Linked DNA regions of Oryzias latipes. The protein of the gene in region 3 purifies or fractionates together with the protein of the main gene of each other region. This does not show direct contact. Links are inferred from orthologs where the notes say so. Each region holds a gene or a part of one and is shown on either strand. Other genes may lie near its edges.

Region 1 (4,141 bases), on a different chromosome or scaffold from region 3:
CGATGAAGATTTGGAGAGGAGTTGAAACATCTGTGGGTGGAGCCGTGAAGTCATGTGACCGCAGAGGTTTTCAGAGGAATCCGCTTCTCACCTCGTGCCGAACATAAGATTCATTCAGGAAGTTCTTGTAGCGAGACCTCAGGTACTGACCCAGCTCAAAGTGCTGCCTCATCCCCTCCTATAGAGCAGAAAAAAGAAGTCCAGAAGGTTCTGCAAGATTTTATGTCAATCCTAGTTAAGTTCTCCCCAAAAATAAACAGAAAAAGGAATCAAAACTGACAAATCTTTATTACAATGCTGTCTCTTCTATTTGAGCATTTCTTATTTTCATGTGTTTATATAAAATCCAACCAAACAACCCTTTAGCATTTAGCTTGATGGAAAAATGGTTCCATCAAGTGAAATTAAGGACCATAAAATGATAAAACTCTCCAACTGTTCCAGAATCCTGGTATTAAATAATATTTCATTGGGAAGGAGGTTCAGAAAGTTTAGTTTCGCTGAATTTGTTTGGCCACAAATGGGTCCAGGAGGATTTCTAACTCTAATGATCTAATGACCCGTTTAAGACTTCAAATCCCATCAAACCCCAACCAATTGTTTTATGGAAAATATTTAATGTATTCTTTAAGACTTTTTTAATCCTAAAAAGAAATAAATGAGGGATGTTTTATAGTGAAGTTAATATTCATGCTTGATCTGAAATCACACACAAAAACTGCAATCATGTGATTGTAATAGTGTTTTTTTTAACATATTCTTTAGACTGTATTCACTGCTAAACCCCACCCACATATAATTAAAGTATTACTGATATATATTTTTAAAATAACTAAATAATGAAAGTTATGAGTTAAACCTTAGAAAACATTTTTTAATAAAGAAAAAAACTGCTTGAGAATTTCCTAAATAAGAGGACAAATGAGTGAGAAAAGGCTCATCACAATAATAAATGAACCAGGTCTCAGAAAGAAAACACACTGATTCAGGCCGTTGAAAATGACTTGGTTACATTTAGCTGACGCGTTTATAAACCTCCAAATCTTTCCAGCTTAGGCAGTTTCTATTGTTAAGCACGAGGGTGGAAGTTTGGTGGTATGGGGCTGCAGGCAAATTCTTCCAGTTCACAATAATTACCCCACTAAAAATGAAGATTTAAACAAAGTTAAGGTGATTTTTAAATGCAGATTTTTCCATATCAAAAGGCAGATGTTTGAGATTTTTTGGTGTGTCCAAACTTTACGGAGTATGCAAGTCAGTCCACATACCTGAGAAAGCTGCCCAAAGCCTTGAGGCCAGGCACTCTCCTGGTAGGGGTCAGTGGGATAGGCTTTGACAGGCGATCGGTCACCGTGTCGAAACAGCTGAAGACATGAAAAGCAAGCAAAAGGAAACACATCAGGTGACACGATTGTTGCACAACATCAACTCAAAAATTTCCAATATTCGAAAGGATGTCCATCAACTCAAGCGACGCAGCACAGAATCTGAAGAAAAACAGAAAAAGTTGATCAAACCCTCAGACAAATACGTGCACTTATAAAGAAAAATCTAGGGCAGTTTTTAATGAAATATACCCCCGCCAAAACCTTTGTTCTGCTTTTATCTGCAGCAGTGGCGGTTATGACATTCAGTCAGCTGACGGCACACTTATAGGAAAATAAACACCAAACTCTAAACGGGGCCCTAAAAGCCTCGACACGCTCTGCTGAAGTGAACTTTGGTTTAAAAACCAGTTCAAAACTTTAAAAATGTCTCATTCCCTAAATGCCAAACCACCAAAAAGACCAAAAAAACAACAAGGTGAGAAATCCGACATGCTAGACTGAAGCGTCTAACAACTGCAAAAAGAAAAGTGCATAATCTCTTTTTGTGGTGAGGATTATATCGTTTATTGAGGCCCTAATCTCGTTCGCTTTAGGAAGAGTTTACTGCAGAAGGAAATTAGTGGTCTAAGAATAAGAACAGGAATTAGACTGTGCCGCTTTTGGCTGCAGATTAAAAGAAAACAGAAGTATCTAGTTAAAGCGGTTCTATTTTACTAAAAATGTATTCATCTGTGACATTAGATCAGTGGAGTGAGATCTAAACTGCTTCTTTGTGTTTTCAGGTCATCTGCATATAAGGTCAGACAGATAACACAGCCATTGGTTTCGCTTGAAAAGAAGAGAATGTAAACAATTACTCCAAAGAAAGAAAAAGGAGGAACATTATAAACAAAAGTCAAAAATGAACTGAAACAAGGTAGAAAGAAATAAAAAAAACGTATATTCCTCCATCAGCAACCCCTTATCTTCTGTTTACATGACTGTAGTATAAATTTCTACTAACTTTTTCTGGTATTTTATCACATGTTCACTACATTGACTTTTTACACGAATAACACCGTAGGATACGATTAAATACTATTTTTATGCTAAAAAAACAATATATTTAATAACTAATCAATGTACTACATAACTTTTTTAATTCGTAAAAACTAGCAAACGCTTAAATTAGTTTATCTGTTAGCTAGCTAGCTGATAGTGTATTTACCGCAAGGACAAAATTCATTCGAGGAAAAAAGCAAAATATGCCAAAAGGATATATTTTTTATTTATTAAATGTTTATTTGCATTTCTATAACGAATTTACAGAAACACTGAGTATTTTTTGAAAAGTTTTTTTGTGTCTCCAAACGTAAAAAAAAAAATATTTATTGTCGAAAAAAAGTACGTGAGTTTAACGCCATTATCCCCCCACTCGTAAATACTTACCACTGTCACAAACACCAGTTTTTTCTCCGCGACCGCGGAAGCCACGGCGAAGACGAAAAGCACGACGGAGGACACCATCATGACTCCGTCCGTGGCTCCGCTTTCTGCAGAAGAGCTGTGCTAAGCAGCGCGGCGGCGGCGGCTCCTCCGACCGTCCCGTTTATGCATCTCTCATTGGTGGAGAAACCGGAAGTGAAAGTGTTAAAGAATACCTAAAATTGGAGAAGGATAAATAAAATACAAAAAATTCATGTTTGGGAAGCATTTATTGTTCAAATTTCAGAACATTTTTAAGTTTTTATTCATTTTTTAAGCGAACGTGCTCTTTTAGAAGACAAAAAGGTAGAAGTTACATGACACTGCTTTTATTTTGACACAGTGATTTTTTTAAAAAGGGAAGTTCAGCAATTTGCTTAATGTCTTATGACTGTTCAAGCTGTTTTTCAGTAAAATTGGGCGATTTTAGTGGACAACTTCATTCGTGTTTGATTAATAATCTTTTCTTTATGTTGATATTTCCAAATACTGTCAAAAGCAACATCAGGTCCAAATCTTTTTTTTAATGTTTATTTTTTTTTACATTTTTTCTTACACATAATTAACCCACTTTAGGATTTAATAAATGAGGAAAATTAACTGTCTTTTGGATTTGATATATTTGATAACTAATGTTCTTATTTATCTTCTTATTTGAAGACAAATATAATAAAACGCTTTACAAAAATATTATCTATTCAAAACATGTAAGTGGTAAAAATATTTTTAAAAGCAGGCATTTATTTGCATGTTTTTGTATATAACAATGAATTAAAATGAAAAGAAAGCAATTGGTTTTAAAATCAATAATCTTCCTTTTTCCTCTTTTATTTAAATATTCATTAAGTTAGAGTTCCTCCTGCCCAATATATTCTAAAAATTGACCCACTTTTTCATACAAAATGAAATGCATTTCTTTCTGAAGATTAGCCCTTATAAACAAATCAAACATTCCAAAGTCTACTTTTTAATCAGAAAATAGTTACCTGGCATTCATCCTTCCTGACACTAGAGGCCAGTGTTGTCGCTCAAAGAACTGTGCGTTCCTGTAATACCGTCTGTGTATCTGTTGTTATTAACACATTTCACATTTTTTAGCAAATAATCACTAAACCTTTAAATAATGAACACTATTCAGAAGTGTCTTCTTAAGATAGCTGATTGCTGGAGGGATAATAAAAGAGTTATTTTCATATTAAGATATCCATTTGATCCAAACTTTAAATAATGACAGTAACTCAAGATTATCAGTCACATAAACTTGGAGGTTGGGTTAATTTGACTTTTAAATGCCATCTTCCGCCAATTACTTTGGTCCAACAAAGATGTCAATCATTAACAATGCCTTG
Region 2 (3,189 bases), on a different chromosome or scaffold from region 3:
CGTCCTCAGAAAATCTTCAGTGAACCCGGAAGCCTCTCCAAGGCCACGCTGACCAAACTGCGGACGACGTGTCGAGCTCGAATCGTCGCTGAAGAATCCTGATCTTATAGCAGCCTGTTTGCACATTTAACTTTGGAACCGAGTCACTGTTAACCTCGTCTTAAAATCTTCTCAAGAAAAGTGAAGTATAAGCTGATCATTTCAAATGATTTAAAAATATATTTGACTTCAATGTGGAATCAAGCACTTTAGTCCAGGATGTATTAGATGCCATCAAGGGGAATCAAACGCTAGCTATGAAGAACTTATTCTGTGATCTTCTCTGAGTAACTGAAGAGTTGACAGAGTCATTTTTGAATTTCAAATAGATGCTTAGAAGATGGTCTGTAAATATTCAAGTAGTGCTTTAGCTAAGTGTTTCTTTATAATGTGACTGTGCTAACCTTTACCACTTTACTCCTCTGGAGAGCACTGATTCTAGCTGAGGATTGTGTGATGAAATGCACAGTTGATTAAAAAGAGCAAATGATTCATTCACAAGTCTTAAATTTACATTTTATTCAGTTGGAGTAATCATGATAGAAAACAAGACCAAGCATTTTCTAGAAAAATAAAGGTTCACGTCGCAGTTTTTCCCCCCCAACATTTCTTCTGAAGGAAAAGCATCCGTGCACTGACTGCATGTGGCCTCAACACGGGATTTTAAAGTTGCACTAAAAAAAAAAAAACTTTGAGCAGTTTATACAGACTTTCAAGACTGATCAGCATTTGAAAACGGAAACATCAAAACACGTCAACCAAGTGTGAAACACATGAAAAGTTTTTACAAAAATGAGGCAGTTAAGCTAACATTTCCTGAAATTAGTGAGAAGTAGCTGCTGGAAAACAACCACTTTTCACAGGATTAAAGGCAAAGAGTAACCACTTTCTCTGGGGTTTGGACACTGACTATGACAGACTTTAGCAATTCAACTCCAAACAGGAAAAGATGAAACTTAATGTGCAAAGCTTTTATTTAATCAGGGTGCTTTCCTTAAAAATATAGCATTTTGCTTTTACTGGACATACACAAAAAAGCTAAGGCCAAAAATCGGATTAGCTGATCTTCAATGTGGAGGAATATTCAGAGCTTTCCCTTTTACAACATAATATTCTTTAAGGCTGAAAGTATCCCTGTGGACAAAAGGAAATTCACTCCGCACTAGCTTTTCTGCTTCACTCCCTCTGCCCAGTCAATTTTATTACTGCTAAAAATGGTTTCAGAAAAAAAATGATTTTATGCCATCAATAGAAATGAATCAATATTTAAGATAAATGTGTTTTAAACTCATCCAATCTGTGATCAGAAGTCAGACGAACAAATCTAAGATGAACTGGGCTTTTCCAACCATCCACAAACATTTAGAAAAGAATCATTTGGATGAACTGATGAACTCCTGCATCCACAGCGTTCTCATTCAGGTTCAGTCTGTTCGGTGCAGGACAAAGTGGCCTCATATGGTCTGGTATCCAGCGTGGCTTCTCTTTCGGCCTATTAGGTATGCGATGAGGACAATCAGCACCAGCCCAGCCAGAGCCGCTCCAACGATGATGGGAATCAACATTTGATCCTGGTCTATTTGACACACTTCAGCTGCACACAGACACACAAAGAAGTGTTATCGCCTTAGAACTGTGCCAACATGATAAATGTTCATTACTCTGACTTTGTACATGTCTGCTGTCCATGTGAACAGTTTTGAAGTTTCTTAAAGCTCAAATCTAAGAAAAGGAAGCTCTAACCTGAGGCAAACTGGGTGGATGTGACGCCAAACGGTTGAACCTGTAGTTCAAACATATTGATGGAGAACGTAGACACCACAAAGAGAGTTTGTTCGGCGTTACACATGTAGGAGTGTCCCAGAGAACTCCTCAGGTAATCCAGACTGGTGTTACTGGCTGAGAAGGGAGCTGTGCAGAAGACGAGAACCTCAACCTCAGTTCAAAGTCTAAAACAAAAATGACGCATGTGGAAAAAGACCGGGTAACGTACACATCATGTCAGTCCAGTTCGCTTGCAGAGTTATCCCGCTTAGATGGTACTTGTTGGATGTTGAGTTCTGTGGAAGAGAAGAAGGATTTGTCAGAAGAATAGAAATAGAGTTAAATGTCAAAGATAATTGATGAACGTACCACAGTGAAGAGGAAGCTGAGCACAGTGGTCTCCTCTTGTGCCAAAACCAAGGTGGCATTGGTGCCTCCACACAATCCAGAGGAGCTGGTCAGATTAGGAGTCAGGTTCAGCAGCTCCTGGACAGTCTGAGAGGGAGAAAAGCTGCAGTGATTAATGAACAGCTCTGCACATGTCTTCCGTGGCTCCTCGTTTGTTCAAACTTTCTTTCTGGAGCTTCTTGGTCAAAAGCTTCCATCTCCAGGACCGTAACTGTAGAGGGCTGTGTTGTGAAGAGCATCCAACTTAAACCAAGCCAAATACATAAATATAAATAGAGGAGATGGTTGTGAGGATGTGGATGAGTCACTATGGCAACCCTAAAGAAAAAAGCCCAACTTGAGATGAAACCCCAAGTGTTGCTTATGAAGCAAAACGATAACCCCCTCCCCAAGTTTTTGTGTTTTCTGAAACCATTTCAAAAACACCAAAGACACACAAAAGGTTCATACTTTTAAAAATAAATTGTGGTCACATTATACATTTAAAATCAACACATGCTTCATTTCTAGCAGCTGAGTCAAAGGTCAGCACAAAACAGCTAGACCAGGAGAAACATTTTAAAAGAATTGTTTAAAAAGAACCAAAAAACTTAATTGACATAACTGAAGTCCTTCAGAAAACTTGGGGAACTATTACTCAAAGATTTCAGAGTTGTAGTTCACTTAAGCTCAATTTTAACAAGTGTTGTTGGTTCAGCAGCACAAACTATTCCAATCCAATGACATGACCAAATTCTGAGGTCAAAGTTCCTTCAATCTACATGTTTTATGACCCCTTAAACTATAGAAACTGCTGTGTCTTACCTTATTCTGAGACTGAGAGAAGTAGCTGACATTGAGCTGCACTCCCATTTTGGCCATGAGACACACAGTGCCGCTGGCGTTCTTCACGGAGTAGGAACCCTGTTCGGGAGTTCCTGCTGGAGTTGGTGACGGAGTGGTCGGTGTGGCTGCACTGGTTGTTGTAGTCGGAGCTCC
Region 3 (4,149 bases):
GACTGCTTCATCATCTAACTCAGTGTTTTTCAACCTTTTTTGAGCCATGGCACACTTTAACCTTGACAAAAATCCCGTGGCACACCAGCATCCAAAAAAAAAAAAAAAAAAAAGGACAAACTCATAGTCTGTATTGATCTACAGCCTCTCTGCAATCTCACATGCATTTTTGTGATAATTGTGGCAGAAAAAGCTGGAAGCTGCAGCTGTTTTTTCTAAAAGATGTAATAAAAGTTAAGTTAGAAGATTTAAAAACTGTTTGATGTGCGTTCGTTGTGGTTTCAAGACGTTAAGAGGAGCGCCGAGACGCTGTCACTTTAACCCAATGCATCATGGGACATGTAGTGCAAAAATCAGCCGAACTCAGAAAGACTAGCGTCTCTGAGCTTCATTGTTTTGTTCAATTGTTCCACCGTCTGACACCGGATTTTGTGGAAGGCTACACCGCTAAAGACGAGCTTTTGCTGGTATTTTTGTTAGAACTGAGAAACTTTATGAGCAGAATCGGAACAAGGAAGTGAAGACTTTAACCACTTCTGATTGGTCAGAGTGATGACATGTGATTAAGCCTCCAAGAATGATTGGTGGAGACAGTTAAAGGGGCGGGACTTTTCCTGATACAGACTTTTCCTGATAAATCGTGGTACCGTCATTCTTATCAAAATGTCTTTAATAATAATAAAATAAACACAAAGAAAAAATTATTTTACGATTTTTCATATTTCTAATTTCTCAGTGTTTTATCAGGACCTGTTTGGATGAACAAAGAGCTGATATCCTAAAGATGGTAAATGTTTTTGGATCAGTTTATGAGGGCAATTTACCACAGCACACCTGACCATCTCCCACGACACACTAGTGTGCCGCGGCACACTGGTTGAAAAACACTAATCTAACTGTAGCTTTTTCTAATGCATCTCTTTTGCCTAACAAGTCATTCAGTGATCCCAATAAGTCACATCAGATGGTCACCTTGGTCTGGTTATGCCAGAGCTTTCTTCCTATAGTTTCATTTCAATAGAATGTGCTATATAATGGAGTTCATGTTACATAATCATTGGCCTTGCAAGGCTCTCATTACCCACAAGAATAAAATTAGATATCCTCCCCCCGTGAACCACGTGTTAAATCCCAGACACACTTCAGTATGAACAGATGTGCAGCATAACACCAACAAAAAACAGCATTACAATATGTTCTAAAGATGGAAACAAACTCCTGTGTGTGTGCACTTAATCAGTGGCCATCTTAAACAAATTACAATAACAAGAGATGTGTCTTTACCTGCGTAGTACAGAAGACATGGAAAAGTCAACAAAAGCTCCAGCCCCAGAATGCTGAGAAGCATGTAGGTACGCACCGTCTGGGACAATCTGACAGTCAGAAATATCAACATCAAGACATTTCCTATTTAGACAAAAACAAAACAAAACAAAAAAAAAATCACTCTTTACTGCCACCTGTTGGATATCCATGAACTTTACGTCAGAAGTAAGTGAATGTACATCTACCTGAAGAGTGTATTGTGAACGGCAGATGTTTCAGCTGCTGTGTTTGTCTGTAAAATTGCAGGTATCCTCTGCCCCGAACTTTATTGTGATGATGCTGCACACAGCAGGAGAACGCCAGGACCAGCAGCCACAAACACGCCTTTGCGTAAACTATGATGCTGTTGCCAGGTTCATTTCCCAGAAAGTGCATACACCTCTCCTCTTGGCCAAACTTCAGCACACACAGAACGGCCACACATATTGACAACACAACGAAGACAATCTAGGAATAAAAAGCAAAGAGACAAAGTCATTAAAGAACAATTTAGTGCGAAAAGCCTCGTGACAGTCTTATGACAACAAACAGGAAACAAATTGCTTACTGGGCCTAGATGGAAAAAGATCATTTGCAGCTAAAAGTCGATGCAGACACTTAGAGAATAAAAAATATATCATGTAGTTTTTACATAAACTTTAGCTTAACGCTGAGTATAAAATAAACAATTAAAAAAGGCTGAGTTCTTTATAAACACCCACAAATGGCCCATCCAGGTTGAAGGAACTTTGCGAGTCCCTCCGACAAAACTAACATTAGCAACAGTTTATAATAAATACAGTCACAAACAATGAAAATATTCTTTAGAATCAAATTAGCATCAGAAAGAGAATATAAAATGATTTATAAAAGGTACAAGCTACATGTGGGCGTCATACATGCAGAAGAGACAGCAAGGCAGCATGAAGATGTGTTGGCAATGTTTGAAACTCTCTTCTGATGGCAGAATGAAGTGCATCAGCAGAGATCAGTGGTCCGTCTACCAAAGTGTCCTCCTCTGTACTCTGGGTCATATCTACTGAAGGACCTGCCTGCTGGAAAGAGAGAGAAAAAGTTTACATGTAAAGAAAAAAGGAAAAAGATAAGTGTACATTTTTTAATGGAAAAAAATAAAATTATCACTTATTTAGCAGCTACTTGGCAGCTAAATTGTTAAGTGAACAGTAATTCAACTCTAGACAAACGTTTTAAAAAATTAGATGGCTCCTGTTTAGGCAAATGGTGGAGTCATGAAGTCGCTAACAAATAAAACAATGCAGCTCCTAGTTATTGTTTTTAGCAAACCGTGCTAGCTAGCAACTATTTTGGGCAGTCAGGTGAGTTGGTGGTAATTAATTGCTAGTTAATGTAAAGCAGTAAGTACTTACTACATGAGCAGAAGGTCTTTGGAAGTCCATCTATGTGGTCGTCCTAAACAGCCAAAGAAACAATAAGATATAACATGGCTTTATTGCTTATTGGTTTATTTCCGGTCGAGTGACAACTGTGAAATATCAGCGGCAAAGTCTAGTTCCGTCTTTATCTGGTCCGACTCCTGTTGAACATTTGTTCCTGGCTAAACAGTTCCGCTTCACAAGCGAGAGTTAGCGCAACTCAGAAAAGGTTAATAAATGTGTATATATGGGAAATTATTTACCCCAAATTTTGGTAGACAAAAAAACAAAAGACACCCCCCACACACGCACGTGTTATTTTATCAAGGAGGGTATGACACAGCTCTTAGCAAAAACTTGAGTATATTTATTGCAAGTAAATTACAGACCATGTTCCTGTAGTGGTTGAAGTATACTAGATAATACATAAAAAGTAAACTTCAAGTAATCTGCTTTACTTTTAGTATAGACTGCTTGTTGTACACTGAGACTGCTTTGTGTTAAGGGAAACCACAAAACCTGATCATAATGAGAAAGTCATTTAGGCATTTTTCTTTTTCTCTATTGTACAAAATATTTTCACTTCAGCGAAAAAAGAAAAAAAAACAATACATTTTTTTCACACAGGTTCAACCGGGATTCTGTTCTTTAAGGGCAGGTGTGTCAAACCCATTTTCACCAAGGGCCACATCAGCATAGTTGCTGTCCTCAAAAGAATATAACTTATACATGTAACAAAATGTAATGACAAATAAACGTAACTACTCCTTAATGTTAAATAACTCATTATTTATTTACTATAACTTTTTCTAGTGACAATTACAATTGCGTAGAAAACACGTTTGCTTGTTACTCTAGCATAAATCCTTTTACATTTTATTCTGTCAGGTTAGGTTATATGGACAGTGTTTAAGTCCTAATGTATAGTTGCCCAATCCGATATTTCAAGTCTGATTCCCCCAAGATATGAATAAATACACACCAATTTAAATTTTTTTATTCTAAGAAATTAAAAACTTTTATGCTCTCGCGGGCCACATACGATGGCATGGCGGGCCACCTTGAGTTTGACACGTGTTTTAGGGCAACTGAATATATAAGGTTGATCTTGTAGAAGTTTCAAAGCTCATCCGAGTAGCTTCTTCAGTTTGTCTCAACTTTTATTGTTCAGCTCAGTAACAGAATCCTGTGATAAGATGACTAGGAAGTCTAAGAATCTTCACAGAAATTTAAGTTAAACATTTTTTAGATGTTTTAAAACGCCGGTTCCTTAAATCTCATTTGGACTCATTATCAGAGAGCAAATAAATTATGACAATTTCAAATGTTTTTATTGTTAACCATAATACAGCTGTTATAAAAGACAACAAATTGAACTGTGTCCAGGAGAAAAAGACACTTGTCCAAATGTAGGTGGGACAGAGGAAAGAGTGAGACGGCTCATTCTCTG

Evidence for each region.
Region 1: the proteins of tmem192 (region 3) and acp2 purify together in Homo sapiens (affinity purification with mass spectrometry; 3 studies listed by BioGRID and IntAct, with this or other methods). This does not show direct contact. The link is inferred for Oryzias latipes from reciprocal best matches to the Homo sapiens genes TMEM192 and ACP2.
Region 2: the proteins of tmem192 (region 3) and lamp1 purify together in Homo sapiens (affinity purification with mass spectrometry; 3 studies listed by BioGRID and IntAct, with this or other methods). This does not show direct contact. The link is inferred for Oryzias latipes from reciprocal best matches to the Homo sapiens genes TMEM192 and LAMP1.

The regions. Positions count from the first base shown.
Region 1 is NC_019860.2:17,043,243-17,047,383, forward strand, and holds the start of acp2 (lysosomal acid phosphatase), read right to left. Parts: upstream 2,931-4,141; 5' UTR 2,838-2,930; coding exon 2,757-2,837; intron 1,365-2,756; coding exon 1,269-1,364; intron 179-1,268; coding exon 92-178; intron 1-91.
Region 2 is NC_019861.2:16,437,303-16,440,491, reverse strand, and holds the end of lamp1 (lysosome-associated membrane glycoprotein 1), read right to left. Parts: coding exon 3,016-3,189; intron 2,299-3,015; coding exon 2,173-2,298; intron 2,100-2,172; coding exon 2,033-2,099; intron 1,951-2,032; coding exon 1,783-1,950; intron 1,634-1,782; coding exon 1,494-1,633; 3' UTR 544-1,493; downstream 1-543. Other genes in the region: grtp1 (growth hormone-regulated TBC protein 1), read left to right, coding at 10-102. UniProt on the Homo sapiens protein: Lysosomal membrane glycoprotein which plays an important role in lysosome biogenesis, lysosomal pH regulation, autophagy and cholesterol homeostasis.
Region 3 is NC_019859.2:19,547,881-19,552,029, forward strand, and holds the start of tmem192 (transmembrane protein 192), read right to left. Parts: upstream 2,878-4,149; 5' UTR 2,724-2,877; coding exon 2,694-2,723; intron 2,361-2,693; coding exon 2,205-2,360; intron 1,774-2,204; coding exon 1,512-1,773; intron 1,408-1,511; coding exon 1,285-1,407; intron 1-1,284.